Linked DNA regions of Macaca mulatta. The protein of the gene in region 4 interacts with the protein of the main gene of each other region in a pairwise test. Links are inferred from orthologs where the notes say so. Each region holds a gene or a part of one and is shown on either strand. Other genes may lie near its edges. The genes, in order: MYLIP, PHYKPL, SCLY, LNX2, PTCD3, NMD3 and TUBB.

What was found.
Region 1: the proteins of LNX2 (region 4) and MYLIP interact in binary tests that used the Homo sapiens proteins (3 or more experiments, as listed by UniProt). The link is inferred for Macaca mulatta from reciprocal best matches to the Homo sapiens genes LNX2 and MYLIP.
Region 2: the proteins of LNX2 (region 4) and PHYKPL interact in binary tests that used the Homo sapiens proteins (3 or more experiments, as listed by UniProt). The link is inferred for Macaca mulatta from reciprocal best matches to the Homo sapiens genes LNX2 and PHYKPL.
Region 3: the proteins of LNX2 (region 4) and SCLY interact in binary tests that used the Homo sapiens proteins (3 or more experiments, as listed by UniProt). The link is inferred for Macaca mulatta from reciprocal best matches to the Homo sapiens genes LNX2 and SCLY.
Region 5: the proteins of LNX2 (region 4) and PTCD3 interact in binary tests that used the Homo sapiens proteins (3 or more experiments, as listed by UniProt). The link is inferred for Macaca mulatta from reciprocal best matches to the Homo sapiens genes LNX2 and PTCD3.
Region 6: the proteins of LNX2 (region 4) and NMD3 interact in a two-hybrid assay, tested with the Homo sapiens proteins (3 studies listed by BioGRID and IntAct). The link is inferred for Macaca mulatta from reciprocal best matches to the Homo sapiens genes LNX2 and NMD3.
Region 7: the proteins of LNX2 (region 4) and TUBB interact in a two-hybrid assay, tested with the Homo sapiens proteins (3 studies listed by BioGRID and IntAct). The link is inferred for Macaca mulatta from reciprocal best matches to the Homo sapiens genes LNX2 and TUBB.

Annotation. Positions count from the first base shown.
Region 1 is NC_133409.1:166,968,549-166,972,048, forward strand, and holds part of MYLIP (E3 ubiquitin-protein ligase MYLIP), read right to left. Parts: coding exon 3,500-3,500; intron 3,019-3,499; coding exon 2,854-3,018; intron 1,825-2,853; coding exon 1,404-1,824; intron 1-1,403. UniProt on the Homo sapiens protein: E3 ubiquitin-protein ligase that mediates ubiquitination and subsequent proteasomal degradation of myosin regulatory light chain (MRLC), LDLR, VLDLR and LRP8. Activity depends on E2 enzymes of the UBE2D family.
Region 2 is NC_133411.1:187,044,986-187,048,485, forward strand, and holds part of PHYKPL (5-phosphohydroxy-L-lysine phospho-lyase), read right to left. Parts: intron 1,841-3,500; coding exon 1,766-1,840; intron 1,138-1,765; coding exon 1,050-1,137; intron 973-1,049; coding exon 856-972; intron 1-855.
Region 3 is NC_133417.1:143,306,919-143,310,418, forward strand, and holds part of SCLY (selenocysteine lyase), read left to right. Parts: intron 1-1,065; coding exon 1,066-1,178; intron 1,179-2,691; exon of another isoform or gene 2,692-3,500. UniProt on the Homo sapiens protein: Catalyzes the decomposition of L-selenocysteine to L-alanine and elemental selenium.
Region 4 is NC_133422.1:7,657,353-7,661,529, reverse strand, and holds the start of LNX2 (ligand of Numb protein X 2), read left to right. Parts: upstream 1-1,377; 5' UTR 1,378-1,548; exon of another isoform or gene 1,549-4,177.
Region 5 is NC_133418.1:38,255,638-38,259,137, forward strand, and holds part of PTCD3 (small ribosomal subunit protein mS39), read right to left. Parts: coding exon 3,373-3,500; intron 2,733-3,372; coding exon 2,682-2,732; intron 29-2,681; coding exon 1-28. UniProt on the Homo sapiens protein: Mitochondrial RNA-binding protein that has a role in mitochondrial translation.
Region 6 is NC_133407.1:64,393,670-64,397,791, reverse strand, and holds the start of NMD3 (60S ribosomal export protein NMD3), read right to left. Parts: upstream 2,801-4,122; 5' UTR 2,687-2,800; exon of another isoform or gene 2,369-2,686; intron 2,108-2,368; 5' UTR 2,096-2,107; coding exon 2,052-2,095; intron 1-2,051. UniProt on the Homo sapiens protein: Acts as an adapter for the XPO1/CRM1-mediated export of the 60S ribosomal subunit.
Region 7 is NC_133409.1:152,322,544-152,326,547, forward strand, and holds the start of TUBB (tubulin beta chain), read right to left. Parts: upstream 2,801-4,004; 5' UTR 2,727-2,800; coding exon 2,670-2,726; intron 1,628-2,669; exon of another isoform or gene 1,344-1,627; intron 701-1,343; coding exon 592-700; intron 323-591; coding exon 212-322; intron 1-211. UniProt on the Homo sapiens protein: Tubulin is the major constituent of microtubules, a cylinder consisting of laterally associated linear protofilaments composed of alpha- and beta-tubulin heterodimers.

The DNA.
Region 1 (3,500 bases), on a different chromosome or scaffold from region 4:
AAGCAATTACTGAAGGCGTCTTTCTGTGCAGAGTGTGGTCTCTACGTGAGTAGACTAGAACACTTCAGGCAGCAATGCAGCAGACCCTTCTTGAAATTGTGTGTCCTTAGCTCAGCTGACTGAGTCAGGCCAACATTTCTGGGCTGATGCCCGCATGGCCAGGGAGGGTGGCTCTGCTCCTCGCCGTAGGTGGCAGCTCCACATTCCTGGCTGACTTCTCAGAAAGTCCGTGCCCATCATCAGCCCTCAGGAGAGACTTACGGATGAGAGTTGGACTGGGTGGGCAGAAAAAGACAAGCCTATGACTGCTTCTGGGGAAAGGACACAGGGGTTGTTTGGTCTTATTAGCTCTGAAATTAGCAGCTTCTGAAGGACTAAGTATTATTTAGGATCAGTTTTACATAAAACCATAGTGACATTTGGCAAACACCTGAGAAATAAAAACAAATTGAAAAAACTTATTATAAGAGGAAATTTAAAATTCTTCTTCATGCAAGAAAGGAAGAAAACTATATGTGAGTTCTCTTTTTATTGTTGTTAATATTAAAATTAGTTTGACTTGCTAATAAATAACAGTCAACCCATATGCCCTTGAGGCATTTGCAATCATAAAAGGAAATTAATCACTAATATCACAGAGTCAACAACCCATCCATGGATAATTGAGAAGTATTCTTTCCCAAATATCTTTTTTTTTTTTTTTTTTTTTTTTTTTGAGACGGAGTCTCGCTCTGTCATCCAGGCTGCAGTGCAGTGGCCGGATCTCAGCTCACTGCAAGCTCCGCCTCCCGAGTTTACGCCATTCTCCTGCCTCAGCCTCTCCAGTAGCTGGGACTACAGGCAACCGCCACCTCGCCCGGCTAGTTTTTTTTTGTATTTTTTAGTAGAGACGGGGTTTCACCGGGTTAGCCAGGATGGTCTCGATCTCCTGACCTCGTGATCTGCCCGTCTCGGCCTCCCAAAGTGCTGGGATTACAGGCTTGAGCCACCGCGCCTGGCCTCTTTCCCAAATATCTTAAGTAATAAAGACCATCCTCCTAAGTGTCAGAAAAAGGGAGGCAACTTGAAATAGAGGAAGCAGCCCTGGGCCAGGCCTCAGGAGGCCTGGATTCTAGTCCTCAGGTCAGCTGCTAACTAGGTACATTACCCAGGAATCTGAGCCTCATTTTCAGAACTTGAAAACACTGTATAATTTGGAGTAATTATGTTGTTGAAAATAGTACACTCATCTAAAATGTTTCTAAAGGTCGATACCTTTTAGGTCACCAAGTACAAAGACCGTTTCCGGGTGAAGATGGGCATTTCCCGTCGGTGCACGAGCAAGCCAGTACCTGGCTCCTACTCCCCATTAACAGGAGGTATAGGTGAGGCTGCAGGCAAAAGTGGGCAGCTGACTCCCCTACCTGTAGCTGGGTGGCGCAGCTCTCACAGCACACAGTATGGCCACAGGGACAGAAGGTGGAGTTGATCTCCTCCTCGCAGCACACCATGCACAGCATGGCTTCCTTCAGCTTGCGCAGCTTCTCCTGCAGCGCCCGGGTCTGCTGGCAGCTGAGGCCCTCACAGCTGCTGCAGTTCATGCTGCTTTCTGAGGACTTCAGAGGCGAGTGTGAAGGGCTCTGGTTGCTTCTTGAAACGAGGTCCACAACGCCAGCATTGTACAGAGCCCTCCTGGCATGGTCATACACCTCCTTTGATGTTCTTTTAATATCAAAGACATATTTCTTGCCAAGGTTAATGTTTTCATTCAGAAACAGAGATGCCAAGTGGCCCTTCAAGTCACGGCTATACTGCATCATGACGGCGCTGGTCACTGTGTCACACCTGCAAGGCAAGATTGAACATCTACTTTAACACCAAAGAGCCCAGCAGCCCCCTTATTAGCTGTTGTCAACAAGAACAAGCAGATGTTTCATATTCTTGTCTGCACGTATGAAAGTAAGTCCTTCCAGTTTTACATCTGGCAGATATCCTCAGTGATTACACCTGTTTCCCTAACGTCTCCTAACGTTATGGTTTCCATAAAGCAGTAAATACAGAGGGCAGTGAGCACATACCTCCTCCCCAGGACAGATGCTACCGAGTCAAGTTGCTTATGGAAGAAAAAGGGCATCTGCCTTGAAGTCTTGGCTTTTATGTTAGAAATGTCTACAAATATTCCATTCTGTTTCACAAGTTGTATATCTATTTTAACATAAATAAAGTTTAAAGATGCCTACGACTTAAATTTCTGAACTTTAATTGTCCAAATACCTGAGTCCAATCACAACTTGGCTTCAAAGCACCCTCTGAAATGAGGGGATCAATATTGTTATTAAAAAATCCTTTCGTACACAGTGAGGATTCAGGATAGCAGCTCTGCCAGAAAGAAAAGATGACCTGTGCTATCCTTCTCCTGGGCAGTGGAGCAGGCCCACCCACTCAGGGTTACCTTTAGGGTAGTCAAACTTGGCTTTGAACCTGAGTGCTAGACTAAGTAAATATTTATTCTCCCAGTTCCCTCATCTTTAACATTAGGGTAATAATACTTAACCTCTTAGGGTTGTTGTATTGATTAAATAGGCGTAGAAATCTCCTAACACACTTTGTGTCTAGATTAACGGCATAAGAAAATATGGTAGGAGGCAAGCAGAGAATGTGTTTGTGTGGCTCACACACATGCACCTTCTGTGGGTAAAACAAGACTACATTAACAAGGACTCCACTGCTACTGCAGAAACAAAATGTTCAGAATTTCCTAAATTCTGTACTAGACTCATTGACACAACAATCCAAGGAACTGTAGAAACCTGGCTGTCACCTAAAAACCTTAGAACTGCGGTGCTGAGGTGACCAAGCACATGAGATACGTGCCTGTAGAACGCGTGCGTCTCTGTTATCGCTCTGTAGAGCCCGCTGGCCGCCCTGGTGCTGATCATTTTAAACAAGAGCACAATGCTGTTCCCAGACTCCTTGGTGACCGTCAAATATACATTCTTTCCTGACTGGGTGGCCATCTGCACCACAGGATAAGCTATCCTAAGAGACGGGAAGAGAAAAGAAAGCAGATCTAGAAGGACTGATTATTCACCATGTGTGTGCTTTTGTGGGATCCCCATTTGCTCATGACCTAGGAGAAAAATCAGACGCTTCCTCTGGGGCTATCACATCACCATGATGCTGCCTCGTCATAAAGATACAGTGAAAAGCAGTTGGGCATATGTGGAGGGAAGTGTAGGAGCAAGTGCTGGGTGTGTACACATGCATGTCTAGAGGTGAAAACAAGTTTTTTATGGCAGTGAATGGGTTATTTGGAAAATGTTAACTCTGCCACATTGTATACCTTGAGTAACATTTAAAATGGTTATTCAGGCCTGAATAAAATTAATATACATACCAAAATGAAATATTTCATTCCTAAGAGCTGACTGTCAAGTAAATCCCTTCCTACTTTCTATTATGTTGAGAGCTACAGATGTATACACATGCTTAGGTCAAAAAAAGTTAAGTCTTGGCTTACC
Region 2 (3,500 bases), on a different chromosome or scaffold from region 4:
TTTTTAGGTTTTATAGAAGTGGTCGTGGAGCACCTGAAACGCATAGGCAAGGCTTCCCTGGTCGGGTTCAGATAACCTTTCCGGCCCCACAGGCTGCCTTTCTTTGTCGTACCTCCTGTGTCTGGCTCTGTCGCTCCTTCAGTGAAGCCTTCAGAGAGCCCTCACCTGTCGCCAACAGTCTTCCCTCTGTTATCACCGTGGGTAACACACCTCTCTCTCCGACGTCTGCACCTCCATTCCATCTCCACTCTACTGCCCCTGTCAGGCCTCCCCACAGCTCACTTGGGGTCTACTGGCCACTTCGTGGTCACCTGACCTCAAGCTACCCCATTCAGATCTATCCCCCACATAGCCCTGGAGTTGGAGAGCAGCGCCAGCCCCAGAGCTTAGCGCTCTCCCGCTTAAGACTCTGGTGGTTCCCGGGGGCCTCCAGGGCAGAACTGCAGCTGCTCAGCCTAGTTCTGGTGCCCTCTGGCATGTGGACCCTGCCTGCCTCTCCAGGCTCAGCTCCTGGCCACACATTCACACGGTTCCTCAGCCACCCGTCGGGATGCCCTTCCTCTGCTACTCCCCACCCCATCTGGAGTGGCTGACCCCTACTGTGTCAGGGAGCACCTCCTCCAAGGACCCCCCTTGACATTCCCCAAGGCCTGCTCAGGCTCTGGCTGCCTATCATGCCCATGCTAGTGCACTCAGACCCTCTGCTGAGCCCGAACTGCCCCTACCCCAGATTCCTGGAGGGCAGGGCCTCGTTTGGTTTTCTCTCTGGGTTCCCAGCATCTAGCACAGTGGTGGTGACAACAATGGAGGTGACATTAACTGTTTGCTGGATTGGACAGGCGCGGACATAGTTACCTTCCTGCCCTTCTCCTGTGCACTGCTGACCACACGTTTCACCTCGTTGGCATAGGCCACGGCTGGGTTGGGGTGGTCCTCCCGGTAGGGGCCCCGGTAGGTGTCTGGGAGAGGTGCCTGTGGGGAGTGACAGCGCCACGTTATCTGGGCTTGGGGACAGGCACCGACCTGTTGTTGAGTTGGGCAGTGCATACCACGTGGACCCACTCCTTCTGGCCATCCAGGTTGCGGAACTTGTAGGGACTGATGTCAATCAGGGAGCTCAGGTGGCCGTGATACGCACTGGGGAGGAGAAGGGAGGGTAGGCTCGGGTCCGGGCAGCTCCTACTCCCTGGCCCAGTCTGACCATGGTCTCCCCACCCTTGAAGACACACAGGGGAGGCCAACTTTCCTGACAGAGCCCCCAGGTTCTTGGGAACTTGGGAAAGAGCACGGGCTTTGGAGTCAGCAACACTTCTTGCAAGACTGCTGACTGGCTATGTGACAGCAGCTCATCATTTAACCTCTTGGGGTTGTTTTCTCTGCTGTGAAATGGGGTGGGAGTTCCTCTTTCTGGTTTATAATGAATCTTAAATGTGTTGATACTGTCAGCCTCAGCTTTGTGCACATCACACACTCAATTCATGGGAGCTACTGCTGTGGCAGTTTGAACATGCAAAATGTTGTGGGACCACCTTTGACTCCCTTACAAAGCGCACTCTGCTCCCCAGAGCTGCCTTCCCAGAATGGTGGCCCAGGGTGACAGAGCCTCCGGGGGGTCTCAGGCCTGGTCCTCTGCCTGCCACGCTTGTCTTCAGTAGCCCAGGCCCCTTATCCTCCCTGCCTAAGGCACCCGGAGTGAGTCGCACAGATCCCCAAGCAGCCTGTGCGCCAGGCTTCTGGAAATGGTAGGGCTGTGAGTTGCACTTACTGGTCTAATACCACCACGTCCTGGTGTCCCGTGTAGTGGCGAGCCAGCCTCAGGGCCAGGTCATTGGCTTCTGACCTATGACCGAAAAGGTGGGCATGACTGAGACAGTGGTCCAAGAGCTTCCCAGAGAGAAATGCTGAGGGCAAGAGGACCCTTCTAGCAGCAAGAAGATTCTCAGGACATCAACTAGTCAGTCACTTGCTTATTTGTTTGGTATACATCAAATGCCTCCTATGTACTAGAAGCTGGGGGCAAAAAGAGTAGGTAAAACAGGCCAGGGGCGGTGGCTCATGCCTATAATCCCAGCACTTTGGGAGGCCGAGGTGGGCGGATCACGAGGTCAGGAGATCGAGACCATCCTGGCTAACATGGTGAAACCCCGTCTCTGCTAAAAATACAAAAAACTAATGTGGCATGGTGGCGGGCGCCTGTAGTCCCAGCTACTCAGGAGGCTGAGGCAGGAGAATGGCATGAACCTGGGAGGCAGAGCTTGCAGTGAGCTGAGATCACGCCACTGCACTCCAGCCTGGGAGACAGTGAGACTCTGCCTCAAAAAAAAAAAAAAGGTAAAACACACACGGCCTTGGCTCTCCTCTTGGCTCTCCTGGAATTTACATTCTCGTATGTGTCATGAAACTTGTTTGGAAAAAACTCAAACCATTGTTTTTCCTCTGCTTTCACACTACGACAATCAACACAGAAGACTTCTGTGACTCCAAAAAATATGTAAGGATTTCTTCCTGCCAGCAGGCAAGCAATCGGATTGCAGCAACACCAGCTGGGTGTCCTCCAGTTCAATTCCAACACACTCTACGTGGAGGCAGCATCAGATCCCACAGCATGAGGGCTCAGTGCCCAAGACTGCCCCACAGCCCCCTGGGCACCAGTAGCAAGTCGGCCTCTGGAACTAATTTTCTTTTTTTGTAGAGATGGGGTCTCACTATATTGCCCAGACTGGGGGCTCAAGCATTCCTCCCACCTCAACCTCAAAGTACTGGAATTATAGGCATGAGCCACCGTGGTGGCCACCTTTGGAAATTTTTTTTTTTGAGACAGAGTCTCACTCTGTTGCCCGGGCTAGAGTGCAGCGGCTGATGTTGGCTCATTGCAGCCTCTGCCTCCCAGGCTCATGGGATTCTCCTGCCTCAGCCTCCTGAGTAGCTGGGATTACAGGCGCCCACCACTATGCCCAGTTGACTTTTTGTATTTTTAGTAGAGATGGGGTTTCACCATGTTGGCTAGGCTGGTCTCACACTCCTAATTCTCCTGCCTCGGCTTCCCAAAGTGCTGGGATTACGGGCGGGAGCCACCGCACTCAGCCCCCCTTTGGAACTTCTGACCAACTGGCTTCAAGTTGAGGTTCCCACAATTCCCTCTGTAGGTTCAATTAATTTGCTGCAGTGGCTCACAAAACTGAGGGAAATACATTTACTGGTTTGTTATAAAGGATATTATAAAAGATACAGATGAAGAGATGCATAGGGGGAGATATGAAGGAAGGGCATGGAGCTTCCCGTGCCCACCCTGGGCGCACCACCCTTCAGGAACCTGTGTATGTTCAGCTATCTGGAAGCTCTCTGAATCTAGTCCCCTTAGTTTTTATGGAAGCTTCATGACAGCAGCATTCCTTCTCCCAGGACATGGGGTAGGACCCTCTCTGGAATGAGAGTTTTATGACCCACCATCAGAAAGGTGGGGAAGATTAGAGTCCCGCCTTGGGCAGGTGAAAGGAAGG
Region 3 (3,500 bases), on a different chromosome or scaffold from region 4:
TTTGTTTGAGACAGAGTCTCACTCCGTTGCCCAGGCAGTGGCGTGATCTCGGCTCACAGCAACCTCCACCTCCCAGGTTCAAGCGATTTTCCTGCCCCAGCCTCCCTAGTAGGGCTAATTTTTGCATTTTTAGTACAGATGGAGTTTCACCATGTGGGCCAGGCTGGTCTCAAACTCCTAACCTCAAGTGATCCACCTGCCTTGACCTCCCAAAGTGCTAGGATTATAGGCGTGAGCCACTGTGCCCAGCCGGCTGTAGTTTTAAACAGAGCTGCGGGGCAGGGGGTCACAAGAGGACTAAGTTGGAACAAAGATCTAAAAAAGTAAGGTGGAGGCAGGGCATGTAGTTTTTCTGGGCAAAGAAACGGAAAGTGCAAGGTCTGGGGCCAAAGTTCACCTGCCCCAGGGAGAAGCCCAGGTCACCACGAACCCCACAGGCCATCGCAAAAACGGGTATGGGGAAATAAGGCGAAACTCTGATGAAGTTAAAACAGCAAACAGGAAAGTTCCCTTGGGAATATGCAGCTGTTCCCCTCCTTCCATAAGAAAGAGGCCAACGATCTGCCCTTCATAGCTGTCAGATGGGTAATCTGGGCCCTACCAAGGGGTAGAAAGAGTGTTTGTTATTAGAGGCAGGATCTGGCTGTGTTGCCCAGGCTGGAGTGCAGTGGCTATTCATAGGCGCCATCATAGCTCACTGCCTCAAACTTCTGGCCTGAAGAGTTCATTCCGCCTCAGCCTCCCCCGTGGCTGGGACTACAGGCACGATCCACTGTGCCTTGCTAGAAAGAAATTTTGAAAACCTAAATGAAAATCCAAGTCCTATCAATTATAAAAGAAATTGGCAAAAACTAGATTATTAGAAATTGTGCATACGTTTTCCACAAGTAGTGCAGATCCTGGATATTCCCAAGTGCAGCTTGTGGGTGTCTGCAGTGCTTATGCAGGAGACCGCCGTGCCCTTGACATTATTTGCTCCTGCTGATGGGATAGACACAGAGCAGCCGTATTTCCCATGTGCTGTCTCCTTTTCCTTAAGGGGTGTCTTTGCTTTCTTTCCTTCAGGAAAGTTTATATGGACTATAATGCAACCACTCCCCTGGAGCCAGAAGTTATCCAGGCCATGACCGAGGCCATGTGGGAAGCCTGGGGCAATCCCAGCAGCCTGTATCCAGCAGGTAATTCTAGAAGATGCACATGTTCACAGATGGGAGATAATGGGGATGGGACGCTCTTAGAGAAATTGCACACCCACATGTGATGGCTTTGTTTTGAATAGATTTCTGTTAGCTGCAAATCTTTAGCTGTAATTTTTGATTGTTTCTTTTCTGAGAAGTCCCAATTTATAAGCTGAGCCTTGCTGCTACGGTAGTCTTTAACCTTTAATGTTTAATCTTTAACATGCTGTCCTGTCACCCTTTCCCCGATGAGAAAGGTGTCCACTGAGAGTTCCTTGCAGTGGCTGTCAGTGCCTGTTGAGCACTGCACAGATCTAGCTAAGTCAATCCTTACAGAATTCGCAAAATATGTCTTTTAGGTCATCAGGATAACGTACAATCCTGGCCCTTTTAAAAAATGAAAATTACTTTTTCTTTTTTTTTTTTTTTTTGAGACGGAGTCTGGCTCTGTCACCCAGGCTGGAGTGCAGTGGCGCGATCTCGGCTCACTGCAAGCTCCGCCTCCCGGGTTTACGCCATTCTCCTGCCTCAGCCTCCCGAGTAGCTGGGACTACAGGCGCCCGCCACCTCGCCCGGCTAGTTTTTTGTATTTTTTAGTAGAGACGGGGTTTCACCGTGTTAGCCAGGATGGTCTCAATCTCCTGACCTCGTGATCCACCCGTCTCGGCCTCCCAAAGTGCTGGGATTACAGGCTTGAGCCACCGTGCCCGGCCGAAAATTACTTTTTCATTAATCAGTTATAAATATTCTTATATGTTTCCAATTTATTCTTATTGTAATGTAGAGCATTAAATTGGAGGTTTTGGAGAATAATTTGCTTCAAGTCAGTTATATGGCAGAGTTACATTCTGTTTTTCAGATAGATGAGCAAACTCAAGTCTTACCTTTCTTATTTAATGTTTATTAGGGATAATTAAGATAAACTATGTTAACTGTGGATTATGATGAACTAAAATAACTTCAAACAGAATATTGCCAGGCCATATGGTTTAGTAACACTTGTGTACAACTTTACAGGTTTAATATGTTCTCATATTCAGTTGCTGTTAAGTTTCACAGCAACTTAATAACAAAGCCCTCAGCTTAGATACTAGTCATTCATTAACTTATTTGTTGGCTTATTTGTTGGTCTATTCTGGCTAATCTTCTGCACATTGCCTTGTATCCAGTCTCTCCTTTAGTAAAATTGAACTTTCTGACATATTAAACTTGAAAATACGGAGAATAACTAAATGCCAATGACAGGCATTGTCTCATGAAAAAGTCTAGGAATCGCTCTCACAGAGAAATCATGTTCTGGACCTGAATGAAGCCTGGCAGTGGCTTTTAGGTTTCCTTGACAGCCTTTGTTTCCATGAATTAAGAACCATAAACTCAGAAGTGTTGCAGTTTACTTTCTGTTGCTACTCAGATAGAAATGCAAAAGAAAAAAAATCAATTTATAGAGTGGTTTAATTATTTTCACAGTATTATTATTTAAACATTATTTAATAATATTTAAATATTATTATTATTTTGAGACTGAGTCTTGCTCTCACCCAGGCTGGAGTGCAGTGGCACTATCTCAGGTCTCGGGTCACTGCAACGTCCGCCTCCTGGGTTCAAGCGATTCTTCTGCCTCAGCCTCCCAAGTAGCTGGGACTAGAGGCACGCGCCACCATGCCCGGCTAATTTTTGTATTTTTAGTAGAGACGGGGTTTCACCATATTGGCCAGGCTAGTCTTGAACTCCTGACCTCGTGATCCACCCACCTCGGCCTCCCACAGTGCTGGGATTACAGATGTGAGCCACCACGCCCGGCCTAAATATTATTATCTAAAGTCTTTGAGGGAAATTTATTTTTATTTGTTTATTTTTTTTTGAACTCTGAACTTTTTATTGGCCTCCTGCTCCCCAAAGGGTACCCTGCTTCTGCTGGCTTAATGCCTCAGAACTTTGGTGTCGTTGGTCTCAGACACCACTTTGCCATCCACTATCCGGCAGGTGGTGGTCTTTTGGATGGTTTGCGTGGAGTTGCTGCTGTCCAAGGCATCACCAAGATTGAATTCCTCGCCATCTTCCAGCAGGCAGCGGTCGGTGGCGATCTCAGCTTCCAGCTTGACCTTGATGTTCAGCAGGGCCTCATACTCCTGGGCCTGTCGCTGTCCCTCTGTCCGGGTCTGTGCCAGCTCTGACTCCAGGTGCAGCAGGATCCCATTGAGCTGCTCCATCTGTAGGGCGTAGCGGGCCTCCACCTCCCTCAGGCTGTTCTCCAAGCTGGCCTTCAGATTTCTCATGGAGTCCAGGTCGATCTGCAAGGACTGGAATGTACGTCTCAGCTCT
Region 4 (4,177 bases):
CGGGGGTTCTGTCCCATAGCGCGAGGCGTGGAGACGAAGCAGGAAGGAAGGACAGACCGACGGAAGGCGCGGAGGACGGAAGGAGGGAGGAGGAGCCGCAGCGGCGCGGCAGGGCCCAGCCGCGGGGCGGGGCATCAGGCTCCGCCCCCAGGCTCCGCCCCGACGCGGGGTGGGCGGTGGCTCGCGGCCCGGCGGCTCACCTGGGCGACCAGGCGAGGCCACTCACGGCGGGAGGGGCAGGGGGTGGGGCCAGCGCCGCTTTACCCCGAGGCCCAGACAGGCCTGCGGGCGCGCCAGCTCAACCTTGGTACCTTTCCCCAGGTGATGGTGAAGGAGCGGGGCTTTACCTGCCGCCCCCAAATCACTTCCCTTCCCAGTGGCAAGGGCGAAAGAGGCCCGACTCCCCCACTGGGGCGGTGTTGACCCAGGATGGCCCTTCCTGGGACCCCGGCCTCCTGGGCCTTCTGTGGGACGACAGGCTTAGGCTCTAGTCGGTCAACACACCTTGAAGAGGGAGGAGGTCACGTGCAAGATGAGTCACGACAGAATACGAGGGTTGAAGGCGGTATTTGTCTCACCGGGGACCTTGCAGTTGCATTCTCAACTGGGTCAAATAAAGGGCAAGAAAGAAATGTCTTTCTCTTTTGGGGGAGTGAGAGTTTGGGAAAAAACTGTTTCCCACCTCATCCTTTCCGTCCTAGGATTCCTTCTATCCCCCAGAGCGCGTCCTCTCCGGCTGTGGACTTCCTTTCCCTTTACCCGCTGTGGCTCTTCAAACCTCTTCACCTGCGGAACCCGCCCTCACCTTTGTTCCCAGGTGCCCAGCCCCCGCCTCGGCAACCTTCGCCACCCAGACTCGCTCTCCGCCCAGCTCCCTGTCCCGGCCCCGGCCACGCTCCCTCAGGTGCGCTTCCTCTCGAATAGGCCCTTCTCCCCTAGCCGCCGGCCCCGACCCTGCCCCACTCCAGCTGTCCAGCTGTCCTGCGCAACTACGTTTCTGCTTCCCTGCGCCACCTGTTCTCCTAGCCTCCCCCCACCCCGCCCCGCGATTCCTCTGGATGTTCACTCCTTCCCGAGCAGTGCCACTCCTGGCAGCGGCCCGGGGTGCGCACAGGCACCTAGCCCCCGGGGCTTCCGCAGGGGAATCAGGCGGGCGGCGGGGACAGCCCGGGGCGGGTGGGGGAGGCGGGCGGCGAGGGCGGAGTGGTCTCACTCTAACCCAGGAGTGACGGGCCAATTCTGGCCCGCCTCCCGAGCTCTCGGATAGGTGGAGCCGCCCTCTGGTCCGCCCACCTCCCGCCCTGTGCTACCTCCGATTGGCCCGGCTGCGGGTTGGGCCGCTCGGCCTTAGCGCTGGCCCCCGGGAAGGCAGCAGGGGCGGTTGAGAAGTGAAGTCTTGGCCGGAGTTTGCTTCTTGCCAGGAAATCCGCGGTGGCGGCGGCGGCAATTCTCGGCGGAGCGGAGCCGGGCAGGCTCTCCGCTCCCTCAGCGGGCCGCGGAGAGCGGGAGCTGGTGGCCGTGCGCGGCCCGGGCAGCCGCGCTTTCCCAGTGAGTAACTTTGTCCTGCCCGCCTCGCTGCGCGCCCTCTCCCCGGCTGCGGGCAGCCGCCTCAGGTGCGGGCGTCGGCTGGGTGTGGAGGAGCGCCGCGCCCCGGGAGGCGGCCGGAGCGGCGCCGCTGCTCGCCCCGGAGCTTTGGTCGTCCGCGGCTGTCTTTGCTCGCCCGGGCTGCGGGGCTGGCGTGGACTCCGGTGTGGGGCTGGTCGGGGAGGGAGAGTCGGCGCCCGGTGCCCGCCGCCTGTAGGAGCCCTGGAGGCGGGCGGCCTCCGGCTGTTAGCATTTGCTGGTTCCGGCCACCGCGGTGCAGATCTTGGCGTCGTTTGCTTCTTAAGGGAAGGGAGAGGTGGGGTGAGTGTTTAAATTTCCTGTGTGTGTGTGTGTGGTGTCGGCAATGCGAGTGGCACTAGCTGCCTTTGTCGGATTTTGTTCCTCTGCAAAGGGATAGGGAGAGATCGTTCCCTCCGCCCTAGCCTGTTGCCTGTGAATTCTCACCTTTCTCTTTAGGCTGGAGAGGGTGGGAGATAGATTTGACATATTCCAGTGGGTAATTTAAAAATGCGAATCTTGATTTGGAACCAGTTGCACACAAAGCATCGTTCAGGAAATACATCACTCGCTTTTCAAAGCTTTATGCCACGTTTTAAACAAGGACTTTTGACTCATGTAGTGTTTCTTCTAGTATTTCAGTTTACGTTGAGTTTATGAATCCAGACGTTCGTTTGTGCCAGGAGCTAAAGTACACTTATGCATGGACTTTGCTGTATTTATTATCCTTTTTAAAATCACAGAAATCAGAAACAAAGTTGAGTGAAGAGCGGTGGCGGTGCAGGAGGAGGAACACTTGTGAGCTCCAGCTTATTGGAACTGCCTTTAAGAATTTCACATTCTTGCGGCAATAGTACTTACTTGTAAATTGGCCTTCTTCCCAGGACAGATTTTGATATTTCTTTTGCATGTACTTCGATGCAGCACTGATGAAGTTGGATCTCAGTAGATCAATTTTATTTACTTTGCTAGATTTGATTCCCACCCCCACACCTCTTTAGAAAATGGACTTTGGCAGGTAAAGAAGGAAGCGGGAATCTGGTATCCTTTTTGGCTTGTCAAAGCTTTGTTGAGCCATGAATAACAAAGTTTTGGCTTTTTAAGCTTGTCCAAGTCCCACATGTGAGTTTTCCCATGGGGTAAAAGTAGGCCAAATGAGAACCAAAGTAGAATAACATTACTTTTAATTCGGCCCACTTGTGTGTTACATTCTCCATATATCTTGTTTCTCTCGTCTTCTCATCAGCTTTGACATTTTTTCATTATTTATTCATTTAGCCACTGATAAAGTACCTACTGCATGCCAGCCATTGATGGCAGGGGTTAGTTCTTGCCCAGAAGTTTTCTCATTTGGAAACTGATCCATGCTTTTATCCCGCTAGTTACCCTGAAGTAATTTGAACTTAGGGAGCATTTCTGCCTGGAGACCTGTAAGAATAGGTGTTACGTAGGCACCTAGCCTTCAGATTGATTTGGGATATCGTACATTGTAGGCACGGAGCACGCAGGCCACTTAAAAATAAATGCATGTATCTTTGGGCTGTTGTATTATGAGCTTTGCATATGGGCTTGTCTGGCCGAAGGACCCAGTGTCCAAGGTGGAAGTAGTAGTCAGGGACATGTATGGTATTCATTTCAGAGCACTTGGCACCTTTTCTTGCTTACATTGGTCACTAAAATATTTACTGAATTGACTTGAACAGAAAAATGAAGGATTTTGTATACCAGATTAAGAAATTTGGACTTTATCCAGTCAGTGATACTGAGCTGCTAATTTTAAGCAGGAGAATGTCATGATAACATTCGCGTTCCAGAAAGATATCTGCAGCATCTGGAGGATGGTGGGCTTCCAGATGGGCGGTATTGAGACTAAGTTGGAGGCTGTTATAATGGAGGGGTTAAGTGCTCAGGGATTCTCTATTCAGATTACCTGGGGTGGAATCAGGCTCTGTCATACACTGAAACCTCTTTGTTCCTTAGGTTTTTCATCTCAGAGTTTGGGGGATAGAACTTGAAAAAACATGTATATTACTTAGAATAGTGATTGCCACATAGTAAGGACTTAGTAAATGCTAGTGTGCTGGCAGTGGAAGGAGAAACGACATGGCATTTAACGCGTATGACTAGGAGGCTGGACCAGGTAAGTGACTAGATAGGCTTAAGGAGGGGAAGGATGAATCCTGGGTTGTTTGATTTCAGGCATTGATTGACATGTACTGGGTAAGCTGGCTGTGGAATTAAAACGGGTCAAATTCTAATTCTATTACTTACCCTTAGAATTACTATCCTGACAGAACTTTGATTTCCTAATATTTGGGAAATGATTGTCATACCTGTTCAGTAGGGTTTGAGAAATTACACATGTAATGCCTTTGGCAGGGTACCTAGCACATTCCAAGTGCATAGATGATGACGTTAATGAGCTAGTGGAATGTTGGAGGATATGAGAAGCAGCAGTTAAAAACAATTAATGGTAGAGGTGTGGAAGGGGAGATAAGTTCAGTTTTGGACCAATCTAAGGAGGTGCTAAATGGATGGTTGAGAGATCCATGATGCAGTTGTTGGATAGTTGTGT
Region 5 (3,500 bases), on a different chromosome or scaffold from region 4:
ATGAAGGATGATCTATTTGAAGGGTTTCCTGCAGAACAAGAAAGCAAATGTGTTTAATCCACTTCCTTTACCACCACCAACCTCACAGTACCTAGTACAAAGGGACACATTTCTCCTTCCTTCACCTCCAGCCTAAGTCCTCGCATAGAGCTGGGTGGAGGCCAATGCTTGCTAAAGGAACCACTACACCCTGCAGAGAGCAATTCTCTGTAAAATCTGGAATAATCACAGGTCTCTATTCATGTGCTCCACTGAGACTTCCCCTTTCTTTAGGATCTTCACATGAAGCCTGACTTACTGGAGTAGGAGGCAGACAGTAACACACACTCCCTCACCAAACCAGCATACTTAGAAAAACTTTTTTTTTTTTTTTTTTTGAGATGGAGTGATGCACTGTTGCCCTGGCTGGAGTGCAATGGCACAATCTCGGCTCACTGCAACCTCTGCTTCCCGGGTTCAACCGAGTCTCCTGCCTCAGCCTCCCGAGCAGCTGGGACTACAGGCCTCTGCCACCACGCCTGGCTAATTTTTTGTAATTTTAGTAGAGACAGGGTTTCCCCATGTTGGTCAGCCTGGTCTTGAACTCCTGATCTCATGATCTGCCCGCCTCAGCCTCCCAAATGCTGGGACTACAGGCACGAGCCACTGCGCCCAACCAAAAATGTTTTTTGCTAGTAATCATTTGTGTTCCCTTTAAATATAATCAGAATGAGGTCAAGAAAAAGTAAACTAGAATGGACAGGGCAGTGCTTAAAAATAATGTGAGCTGAGCACTAATAGGTCAGAAAATCATCTGCAATATTCCCAGTCAAATATTTCTCTACACTCTGTTCCCTACCTGTTCTGTGTGTTCGTGGTAGCAGAGTTGTAATGACAGTGCAGATAGTTTCACAATTTGCTCAAGCATGTTTCCCTTTGCTAACATTCTTAATTTTATCAGTTACATAATATTCTCTTTTCAATGTATTGTTTCTTGGCTAATTTAGGCTTTCTCTTTTGGGTCAATTCCTAGAAATTATTATTATTATTGAGACAGGGTCTTGCTCTGTCACCTAGGCTGGAGTGCAGTGGGACAAATGCAGCTTACTACAGTTTCCACCTCCTGGCCACAAGCAATCCTCCCGCCTCACACTCCTGAGTAGCTGGGACTACAGGGGTGCGCCACCATGTCCAGCTACTTTTTTCATGTTTAGTAGACATGCAGGTCTCTCTGTGTTGTCCAGGTTGTTTTCAAACTCCTGGGCTCAAGCAATCCTCCTGTCTCGGCTTCCTAAATTGCTGGGATTACAGGCGTAAGCCAAAATTATTATTGCAGACAGGCAATTTATATACATAAGACAAACCAACATAGCTCCCCCAGATTCCCCATCCCCCAGTCCTGGCTGTTACTTAGGAAATGTAAGTACATCTGACTTTGATTAGCAATTGAACCAGTGATGAGAGTTACAGAGGAAAGAAATATACTTTGGGGTCAGAAATACTAGCTCCATCACAATCTCACCAAGGTTGAGTAAAATTTTAGGGGACACAATTATGGAAACTTTATCTGTTTCCAAGGTACAGTCAATTAACTGTTTGGTTCCTTTTCCTAAAGATAAAATTTGCCTATACAGGTGATGATATGGATTTTACAAAATTAGTCCTCCAAACCAGAGAGAATCAAGTTCTCTTCTGTAATTTTTATAGTCTATCACGAGAAAGAATGACTAGAACTGTCAATTCTGAACTCAAGGGTTATTTCTTAGGCTGGGGATAAATGGATAAGAACTAAAAGATTCTGAGTGTCTCATATGTGCCTTCCAAACACAGTAGCAGACACGGTGTGGAACTCATTTAACTACCACACCCTGCTGCTATTCCTCAGGTAGGCATCCAGTCACTTTGACATAGCTGGTAAATAAACGATAGAGCCGACATCTCAGTTCAGGTGTGTCTCTCTCCAAAGTCCATCTACAGAGCAGAGCTCCCACTGGAACTGACCTAAAAGTGGACAACGAATGGAGCCTTGAGGTCCTCCCAAAAGGCTTCACAATAAGTTTACCTTCCTCTGAAGCAGCAACGTCCACAAACTTTTGGCAAAGATGGAAATGTTCTGAACCTGCATCACTGAACATGGTAGCCACTAGACACATGGCTACTGAGCACTAACGTGACAAAATAATTTATTATTTTACTTAATTTTAATTAACTGGCCACATGTGGCTAGTGGCTACGGTATTAAATAGCATAGCTCCAGAGAACAAAAGGGACTTCAGCCAAAATACATTCTAACCATTCCTGTTTGTACAACATCACTGACAGTACATTCCATAACCCTCTCCCCTCCAGCTCAAGTTTCATACCATAAACAAGATTGCTAACCTCAAGAATAATTTTAGGTAGTAAGACCCTGCCCAATAAAAAAAATCAGCTGGGCATGCTGGTAGGCATCTGTAATCCCAACTACTCAGGAGGCTAAGGAGGGAGGACTGCTTGAGCCCAGGAGTTCAAGGCTGCAATGAGCAAGATCCTATCTCTAAAAAAAAAGCCACAACTTTCTGCTCAGGCTGTACAGGTTAATTTACAAATTATCTTTTCTTAATTCATATGCAGAGAAGATAACCTGCAACAATTAATCACATAAATTCAAGAAAGCTGGTCAATTTTCTATATAAATTAACACAGTTTAAGGCCATACATACCAGGCTGATAAAACAGCTGAATAATATGGTGATATGTTGCAAGCGAGGGTTCTCGAATTACCAGGTGAATAGAAAAAATAAACAATGAGGTAAACACACAGCAATCCAAAATATAGTTTACTGAGACACACTGAATTTAAAACATATTAATGTTAATATTTAAGCAATAGATGCATTTCTATTCCTTTGAACAAAGATATTTTCCAACTCATTAATGTAAAGGTGAAAAACTATCATAAAGACTTAATCACTTTTTGAAAGTCCAAATACTTATTAGTCACATTCTTCACTGAGAACAGTAAAATATATTTAAGTGAATTGATTCCCAAAGCAACTTTCAATAAAGTAACTAATGAAAAATATACAATACACTAGCACACACTTAGGTTCAAATACCTAATTATGCTGGAAAAATGTCATGAATTTAAAACTAGCTAACTCAAAGCAATCACTTCTCCTCAGATTCAACAGAACCATAAACAAAGTACCTAAAATACTAATGAACACTAAGATGATAAAGACACTCCCACCATAAGTACAGTACATTTAATTTAATGTGCCAAACATGGAAACAAAATTTCCAGCATATTATGTAAGCAGAAGAAGAATTTAAAGGTCTTTGCTTATGTTGACCTGAAACCTCTGGCTGGCACAGGCTCTGTCTTCAGAGGAATCAAGGGCGCATCCTCACCTATTCCAATGGCTTTCATTTCACGTAAAAGCTGTAAGGCTGGCAATCTTGCAATCACATGAAATCTTCGGAGACATTTCAGAATGGTATTAAAAGTCTGCAGATTTGGTTTCACGTTCTGTGCAACC
Region 6 (4,122 bases), on a different chromosome or scaffold from region 4:
CGGTATATTGATGAATACAAATCTTGCACTAATTTTAATTTTAAATACTTAAATACAATTAAAAAACGTGAACGTGCTCTTTACCACAACCAACCAACACTATCCATAAAGGTAACATTTATTAACAATTTGTATATATCCTTCCAAACATTTTCTATGCAGACACAAACATTCACATTAACTTTTACAAATAAACAGATAAACTTCCTAACCGCAAGTGTAATAACAAACTTGGGAAAAATTTGAGAAGCACTGTTATTCATCATCCCTTATTGAAAATTGGAAAACCAAGTAAGAATCAATTAACAAGGCAATAGTGTGTCAATGGCAAAAACCAAAAAGAAAATCCTATATCAAGAATATGTAAGATCAGTTTGTCTCTTTTTAATTCAACCACCTCATCTCTAAATACTAAGCCTTTAAAAATGTATTTATTCAGGGTATACAGGTGAAATGTATGGTGTCACTACATTAAAAGATTACAGCTGTCTACTTATCGCTAATGAATATTTCTTCAAGTATATCTCTGGATTACACCAGTAGAAACTAATATCTAAATCATTTCTAACAGAATTAGACAACAACATACTCCAAAGGCAATTTAAAAAAAAAGTATAAGGACTCCTAAAATATAAACATTTACGCAAAGCAGAATTTTTTTTTTAACAGGATGGGAAGTCTATCAACATCTAGAGACTCAGTATAAATGACAAACTATCATAATTCGAGATGTACTGGGGGCACAAAAAGTCTGAGAACCCCTAATGTAGAACATTGTCCAAAATAAAAGTTCTATAATTTTCCATGTCCAATGGTAGCCACCAGGAGCCACATGTGGCAACATGGCTAGTACAAATGAGCAACCAAGTATTTAATTTTATTCCATTTAAATTAATTTAGGAAACTTCCAACTTAAACTGCTTGGGGCTTATGTTAACAGTGGAGCCAGCGGTACCACTTGGAAAGCAAGCAGTTCCTGACAGAGCTTACCAGGCTCTTTCAGAAGTGCTAGTTGTCCGGCACAGAAGTATAATGGTCAAACAACCCATTCCAACAAAGGGTTCTGTGAAGGGCTCTGAGCCCTTCGACAAGTGTCTGTTAAAAGCTACTGACAGAACAAGGAAGATCAGCACTATGCTGCGCTCCAAAGACATTTTCAGATGGCTTATTCAAACCCAGAGCTAACTGAGGGACAAGGGAAGAGTAAAGCATCACAGGGAAGGAGGCCAAAGTTTCTGCTTTCGCTAATCACTGAATTCCTATTTTTCCTTTGGTATTTACTTTTGGCCACAAAGCTAGTTTCTCCACAGTTACTGTTTTCCTGTGAGATTAGGGTCATTTTAGACAGAAGCACTGCAATGTTTACAGGGTAGTTGTGGTAAGATGCCAATTTATTTTAGATTTAGCTGATTGGTCTGTGCTGAACGATTCCAAGATTCTCGTTTAAAAGTCTCTGTAGTCATCTCTTTCAAGAGCACTGTATCATTAAACCTATTTATCAGCAAAAAAAAAAAAAAAAAAAAGTTAATTTGAACTTAAATGCAAGAAATTAAAAATTGATAATTGTTTTAAGATGTTCAAAATTTAAAAATTACGACACTATAATCTCCAATAAAAAACAGTAAGTTATTCCCAGCTACTCGGGAGGCTGAGGCAGGGAATTGCTTGAACTCGGGAGGCGGAGGTTGCAATGAGCCGAGATCACACTACTGCAACAGAGTGAGATTCCGTCTCAGAAAAAAAAAAGTAAGGAAATGTAAGTAAAAGGTAAATTTAAATAGCCACACGTAGCTAATGGCTACATATTGGACAGGGCCGATATAAAAGAATGTATGAAAAATATTTTAACCCTCTTAGAGCATGTATTTACTAGAACAAGCTTTATAACCAGAAACTAACTCGATTTTCTACAGAAATAAGACTTTTATTTTTTCCCATTTATGACAATAGAAGCTCCTTCCCACCCACCCTCAAGCGTTCCCCATAGTGAGTTTCCAGGGCTCATTGAAGATTTTCACATGCAAGGGGGAAGGAAGAAGTGTGGCACTCACATGTGTCCAGGGCTGCGGTCGGTGGATTCTGTCATATATTCCATCGTTCTCTACGCCTTAAGTTTAAAAAAATAAAATAAAATGAGAATGTTGGGATTTAAATCACTTTGTCTGGTCTCCTCTTTTTACGTCTTCCTCTTGTCTCTCCGAATAATTAACATATTCACGGAACTTCGAAAAAGCAGGAAAGAAGGAAAGCCAACTCCACTGGGTAAGTTCGGAAAAAAGAACTTTAAGATGAAGACCACGGGATTTACTGAGTTTCCCAGCTGCAAGACCCTCGGTCCACCCAGCTCTGCCGCTGACCTCCATCTCACCTGGCCTCCAAACCCTGGAAGACCTAGGGCGAGGTCAGACCGCTCGGGATTGCGGACGCCCGGGCCCTCCCGCTCTCCACCAGCCCACGGACCGCACCGGCACGCCGCGCCTCAGACCTACGCCGCAGGAGTACCCGGATGAAGTCCCCGCGCCCGCGGGTCACCCACGCCGACCCCCAACCCCGGGGAGCGACCGCATACGGGTTCTGGGCACGCGGCGCTCACGCGGACTGAGCACGACCCGAGCCCAGGGAGCCCGCCCCGCCCGCTACTCAGGGGCCCGTGCCGACAGCACGGGTCTCGGACCCCGGAACCTACTTCGCCTCTCCGGACCAGCACAGGATTTGCTGAAAACCCGCAACAAAACAGAACCTGGCAGTCCTGTCAGCTGCCCACCCGTGTGTCTCCGCCACAGAGAGGATCTCGCGAGAGAAATGCTCGAAATCCCGCGGCCTGAGTGACGTGTGGAAAGGGGCGGGTGGGGGCGGGGAAAGGGGCGGCACCCACGGGCGGAAGGGTGAGGGGAGCTGCCGGGAGGCTGGGAAAGCGCGCGGAGAGCAGTCCGGGGGGGCTCCTTCGCCTTCAGCGACTGCTTTTCAGTTATCGTCTCGATTTTCCCAGGCCGGAGTTCACTCCAAACCAACCTCGCCCGTATATTAGTCTCTTTTCAGCTATCCCGACTGTGAGCTTGCTTCTCGATTAAACGATTATGTTATATAAAAGTTATCTGTAAACAGTACCTCAGGCAGAGAAACTCCATCCAGGCCGGCGCCTTTGTCTGGTTCACCATCCTATACAGGCCTGATGTCTGCCACACCCTAACTGCTGAAATGATTATTTGTTGAAAGAATGAAATGTAAAGCATAATTATCTGTGAAGAAGTCTATGCGATTTTTAGATAAATTATTAATTATATGATTCCGGATAGTACACTTAATATCTTTGTATGACTGATTTATCCCTCAAACTTGGAGCAGCACAGACCATGTCTAATCGGTCTCATGACAGCCTTTCAAATATTTGAAGAGTACAACCATTTTCTTTTTCTAAATCCCCTCATCCCAAATGTCAAGGAATAAGCAAGGGCGTTTTGTAGAGGGTGATCAGAGGAAGCCTCTCATCATTTCTTGCCCAGAATACTTAAGTAGCCTCTCCTCTGCTCTCCCTACTTGTAGACTCCAATCCATCCTTCTGAAATGCAGTTCTGATTCTGTCACACTCCCCTGCTTTTAATCCTTCAGTGGCCTCTGCTTACCTTCAGCATTATTTCCAGTTTCTTTGCGTGGAAAGAAGACCTTTCAGGATCTGATCTCCACATATCCTGTCTTCCTCCCAACCACACGTACTCCCAAACCATTCAAACCAACTGGCAGGTCTCACAGGAAATAGTCTTCCTTTGCTTCTACCCAGGACTCGGTAAAGATTAAGCCTGAATTAGTTTCCTAGTGCTGCTCTAACAAGTTATCAGTGATTTAGTTGGCTTAAAAAAACACAAATTTGTTCTCTTCCAGTTTTGGAAGCTACAGGTCTAAACAGATGGTGAGGGCTGACTCTGGAGGCTCTAGGAGAAAATGTCAGGCCTCTGAGCCCAAGCTAAGCCATCATATCCCCTGTGACCCGCACGTATACATCCAGATGGCCTGAAGTAACTGAAGAATCACAAAATAAGTGAAAATGGCCTGTTCCTGCCTTAACTGATGACATTACCTTGTGAAATTCCTTTCCTGGCTCATCCTGGCTCAAAGGCTCCCCCA
Region 7 (4,004 bases), on a different chromosome or scaffold from region 4:
TTCACTGTGATGTATTCTCCCCCCACTGCCCCATAATGTACCAGCAACAGCAGGCACTACCTCTACCCTACCTCTACCCTCCATTAGATTTCAGAATACAGTTCTTAGCACTCCAGTACAACAATCATCTCCTAACTTTTGCTGTGTCCTTGCACCCAAATAAGTTGAACACGATAGTATATCATCTGCTAATATCATCTGTATAACTTACCAAATACAAAGTTGTCTGGTCTAAAGATCTGGCCAAAAGGACCTGAGCGAACAGAGTCCATGGTCCCAGGTTCTAGATCCACCAGGATGGCACGAGGAACATATTTGCCACCTACAAAGAATAAAGTTAAGAGCTGTGAGATCTGGCAGAGGGAAAGGTTTATAGATACACTGGGAATGGAAGACAGCAGGGACCCAAGACTTGTTCCAGGTCCTGCCACCAGGTGGCAGCAGACGTCTTTGGCCCCGACGGTGGTTCACAAAAGGGAGAAAATGATAGATTCACCGAAAGGGGATAAGGCGTGCCAGGAATGGAAAGAGACCCCAGAGAAGTGGGAGACAGGGAAGGGGAACCTGAGCTGCCCGGGCTCTTGCCCTTACCTGTGGCTTCATTGTAGTACACGGAGATGCGGTCCAGCTGCAGGTCGCTGTCCCCGTGGTAGGTGCCGGTGGGGTCGATGCCATGTTCATCACTGATCACCTCCCAGAACTGCCGGGCAGGAGCAACGAGACCACAAGTCAAGTCCCAGTCAACTACGTCCCCAACTACCATTTTATTTCATCTTTTTCTTAACTTTTTTCTTTTTTTTTTTTGAGACGGAGTCTCGCTCTGTCGCCAGGCTGGAGTGCAATGGCGCTATCTCGGCTCACTGCAACCTCTGCTTCCCGGGTTCAAGCGATTCTCCTGCCTCAGCCTCCGGAGTAGCTGGGACTACAGGCGCGCGCCACCACGCCCAGCTAATTTTTTGTATTTTTAGTAGAGACGGGTTTCACCATGTTGACCAGGATGGTCTAGATCTCTTGATCCGCCCACCTCGGCCTCCTAAAGTGCTGGGATTACAGGCGTGAGCCACCGCGCCCAGCTTCTTTTAATTTTTAAGACAGGGTCTTCCTCTGTTGCCCAGCCTGCAGTGCAGTGGTGCAATCACGGATCACTACAGCCTGAAACTCCCAGGCTCAACCGATCCTCCCATCTCAGCCTCTCGAATAGCTGGGACCACAGACGCGCGCCACCACACCCAGTTAATTTTTTTTTTTTTTTTTTTGAAGAGATGTGGCCGGGGGGAGGGGTCTCGCTTTGTTGCCCAGGATGGTCTCAAACCCCTGAGCGGGAGCGATCCCAATTAGCCCGCCTCAGCCCCACATCTCCCATTTTAATCCCACACGCGCTCAGGCCGTTGTTCTAGGGCCTGGCATCCCGTGTGCCTGCCACACCCTTCCCCTAGACACTCGCTCCCCCGGGAAAGCCACAGCTTTCCCGGCTCGGGATTATGTGCAGCGGGTCCCAAGTGCTCGGTGGGCGGATGGAGGTCGACCATACTTGGATAAGCGCCGCTGTTCTTCCCCCGAGCTGGGCACCGCCCCACCGCGCGGCGCACAAAAGGCTCGGGGCACTAGAAGAGCTGCTGCCGCAGTCGACCACCCCCCACCCTCCACGTGACTGCGGCGCACGCGCAGGTCGAGCCGCCGACAAAGGACTTCGCACGTGGGCGGGGCCAGGGGCAAGAATTCCGCGCGAGGGGCGGGGCCCAGGGTAGCGCGCCCCTCCCGGCGGGCAACGCCGCATTGTCCCCGCGCGCCAGCGGCGCCCTGGCCCCGCCCCGCAGGGCCCCGCCCTTCTGCTACAACGTAGCACCCGCACTTCCTCCCGCCCCTCCCCCGCTACACTGTAACCGCGCGCAAAAAAAAAAAAAAAAAAAACCCTTGGCCTCGGAATTTTATTCCTTTGCTAGATTTCTCCCCCTTGATTTAAAGCATTCTTTCTCTCCCATTAAGTCCTGAAGGACTCGTTAAAGAAAACCACACACCCCCATTTTCTCGACATATCAGTTCACGCCCTAAAGAGGTCTCGCTTAGGTGCCATGAAAGCAAGAAAAATTAATCCCGTTCTTATTCTCCTTCCACCCCGGAACAACTACAGGACCGGCCCTCCGGGGTCGCGGGCGCGCTGGGGTCCCTGATCTTTTGTGAATGGTAGCGCCCAGCGCAGCCCACCCTGGCGCATCGCCCCCCGACCTTTGCACTGGAGCTCTCTGCAGCCGCCCGACAGCCTCACCCCTTCCCGCTCCCGTTTGGCCCTAAGAACCCCGCAGGGGGGGCTGGGCGGGATGCACATGGGCAAAACCTCGCCCCGCTTTGTCTCCGACTGTTTCCGCATCTCTCTCCCTGCCCGGTTCTTGGACCGTTAGAAGCCCTTTTAAGTAACATATGTCCTTGGTCTTCCCGCCCCCGAAACCCGAAGAGCCCTTTTACTAGTTTCTCCAAAATGTGCCTGCCAAGAAAAATGATTCCCAGTTTTCCAAAAGCAAATGCTAGTTATTATATATATAAATGTAACAAACTTGGGAGGGGCAAAGCTTGATTAAGAATGGAGAGTGCAAATGCCCCACAACCATTTTTTCATAACTTACCTGGATTTTTCCTTCTAAAAAGAAATAAAAGAGGTGTAAAATTCTTACCTTGGCACCGATCTGGTTGCCACACTGACCGGCCTGGATGTGCACGATTTCCCTCATGGTTAAAATTAATTTTTTTTGCTCGCCTCAAGGTATGTATGGGGCAAGAAAATAAGTAATTTTTTTTCTCTGCAGGTCGCAGGCTGGAAGGTTGGAACGCGCCCCAGACGCTGGAGCAGCGAGGTGCGAACGCGGCGGCAGGAAGGTTCTGAGAGGGAGAAAGGAGAGGGGAGGGCGCGGAGGGAAGGCAGGCTGGGCGGGGCGCGCGTGCGCCGGGGCTGGGAGGCGGGAGAATCGGCCCCGCGCGCGGTCGGGAGACAAAGCCTCATCGAGCCTGGCCCTGATTAGTCGATGCCGGTCATGTACCAGGCGTCCATTGGCCTCTGAGCCAGTGGACGAGCGCAGTCCTCTTTGGGAGTTGTAGTCCCCTATTGTTGTTCACGGTGCAAAATGAAGTGACGAATGGGTGGGTACCGGTTTGGTTTTTGTTGGGTTTTTGTTTTGTAAATGAAAAACGACCTTGCGCAAGATTCCTTTCCTCTGTGCCTGAGGTTTTTGTACAAAAAGTGAGCAGTTCTCGGGGATGCAGGGATTGAGAAGTCTGGGGTTCCAGAAGTTGGGTGGTGAGGTACGCCCTAAAAGCTCCCAGCTGCAGTACCTCTAGGGAAGACAGAATTGCTTAGCTCAGCGAAAAATGGGGAGGAGTGTGGCACCGTGCTCTGCTACCTCTGGCCTTTGGTGACCCAAGTCATGAACTTAAGTAAGCTTCTGCTCTCTCAAATACTTCAAGAAGGGAATCGCCCTCTTGCTATTTCCTTGGAAATTTTCGAGTCATTGTTTTGAAAGAGAAACAAAATTGCAGCAAGGGCTTTTCAGGATAGAGATGTTGTCTGGAGAGTATGTTCAAAGAATAAAATAGTTTAGAGAAACCGACATCGGGGATTTGTGAAACTAGAAGTCTCCATCCACGTAGGAGATCTGGGCCTTAGGGCAGACTTTGAAGACACCTTGATCTTCTTGTCAAACAGGGAACTATGGAATGAGATGCCTGATAGATTTTCAGTTTTTTCAGCCTACCTTTTTAGACATGTTAATGAAGTCAGTGGTTTTTCAATTCGCTTATTTCACTGACCAGGTGGCCGCCATTGCAACTCTGCAAGATACCCAGTATTGAAAAAGGAGAGAGGGGAAATTGATGGGGGAAAATTGGATGGGCTCAAGACAGAGTCCACCAGCTTCTTCCCAGAGATTTATTCACTTATTTGATAGTTACTATGTATCCACCAAATTAGGAACTATGGTTACAAAATGATTAATAATTAGTTCCCTGTCCTCCAG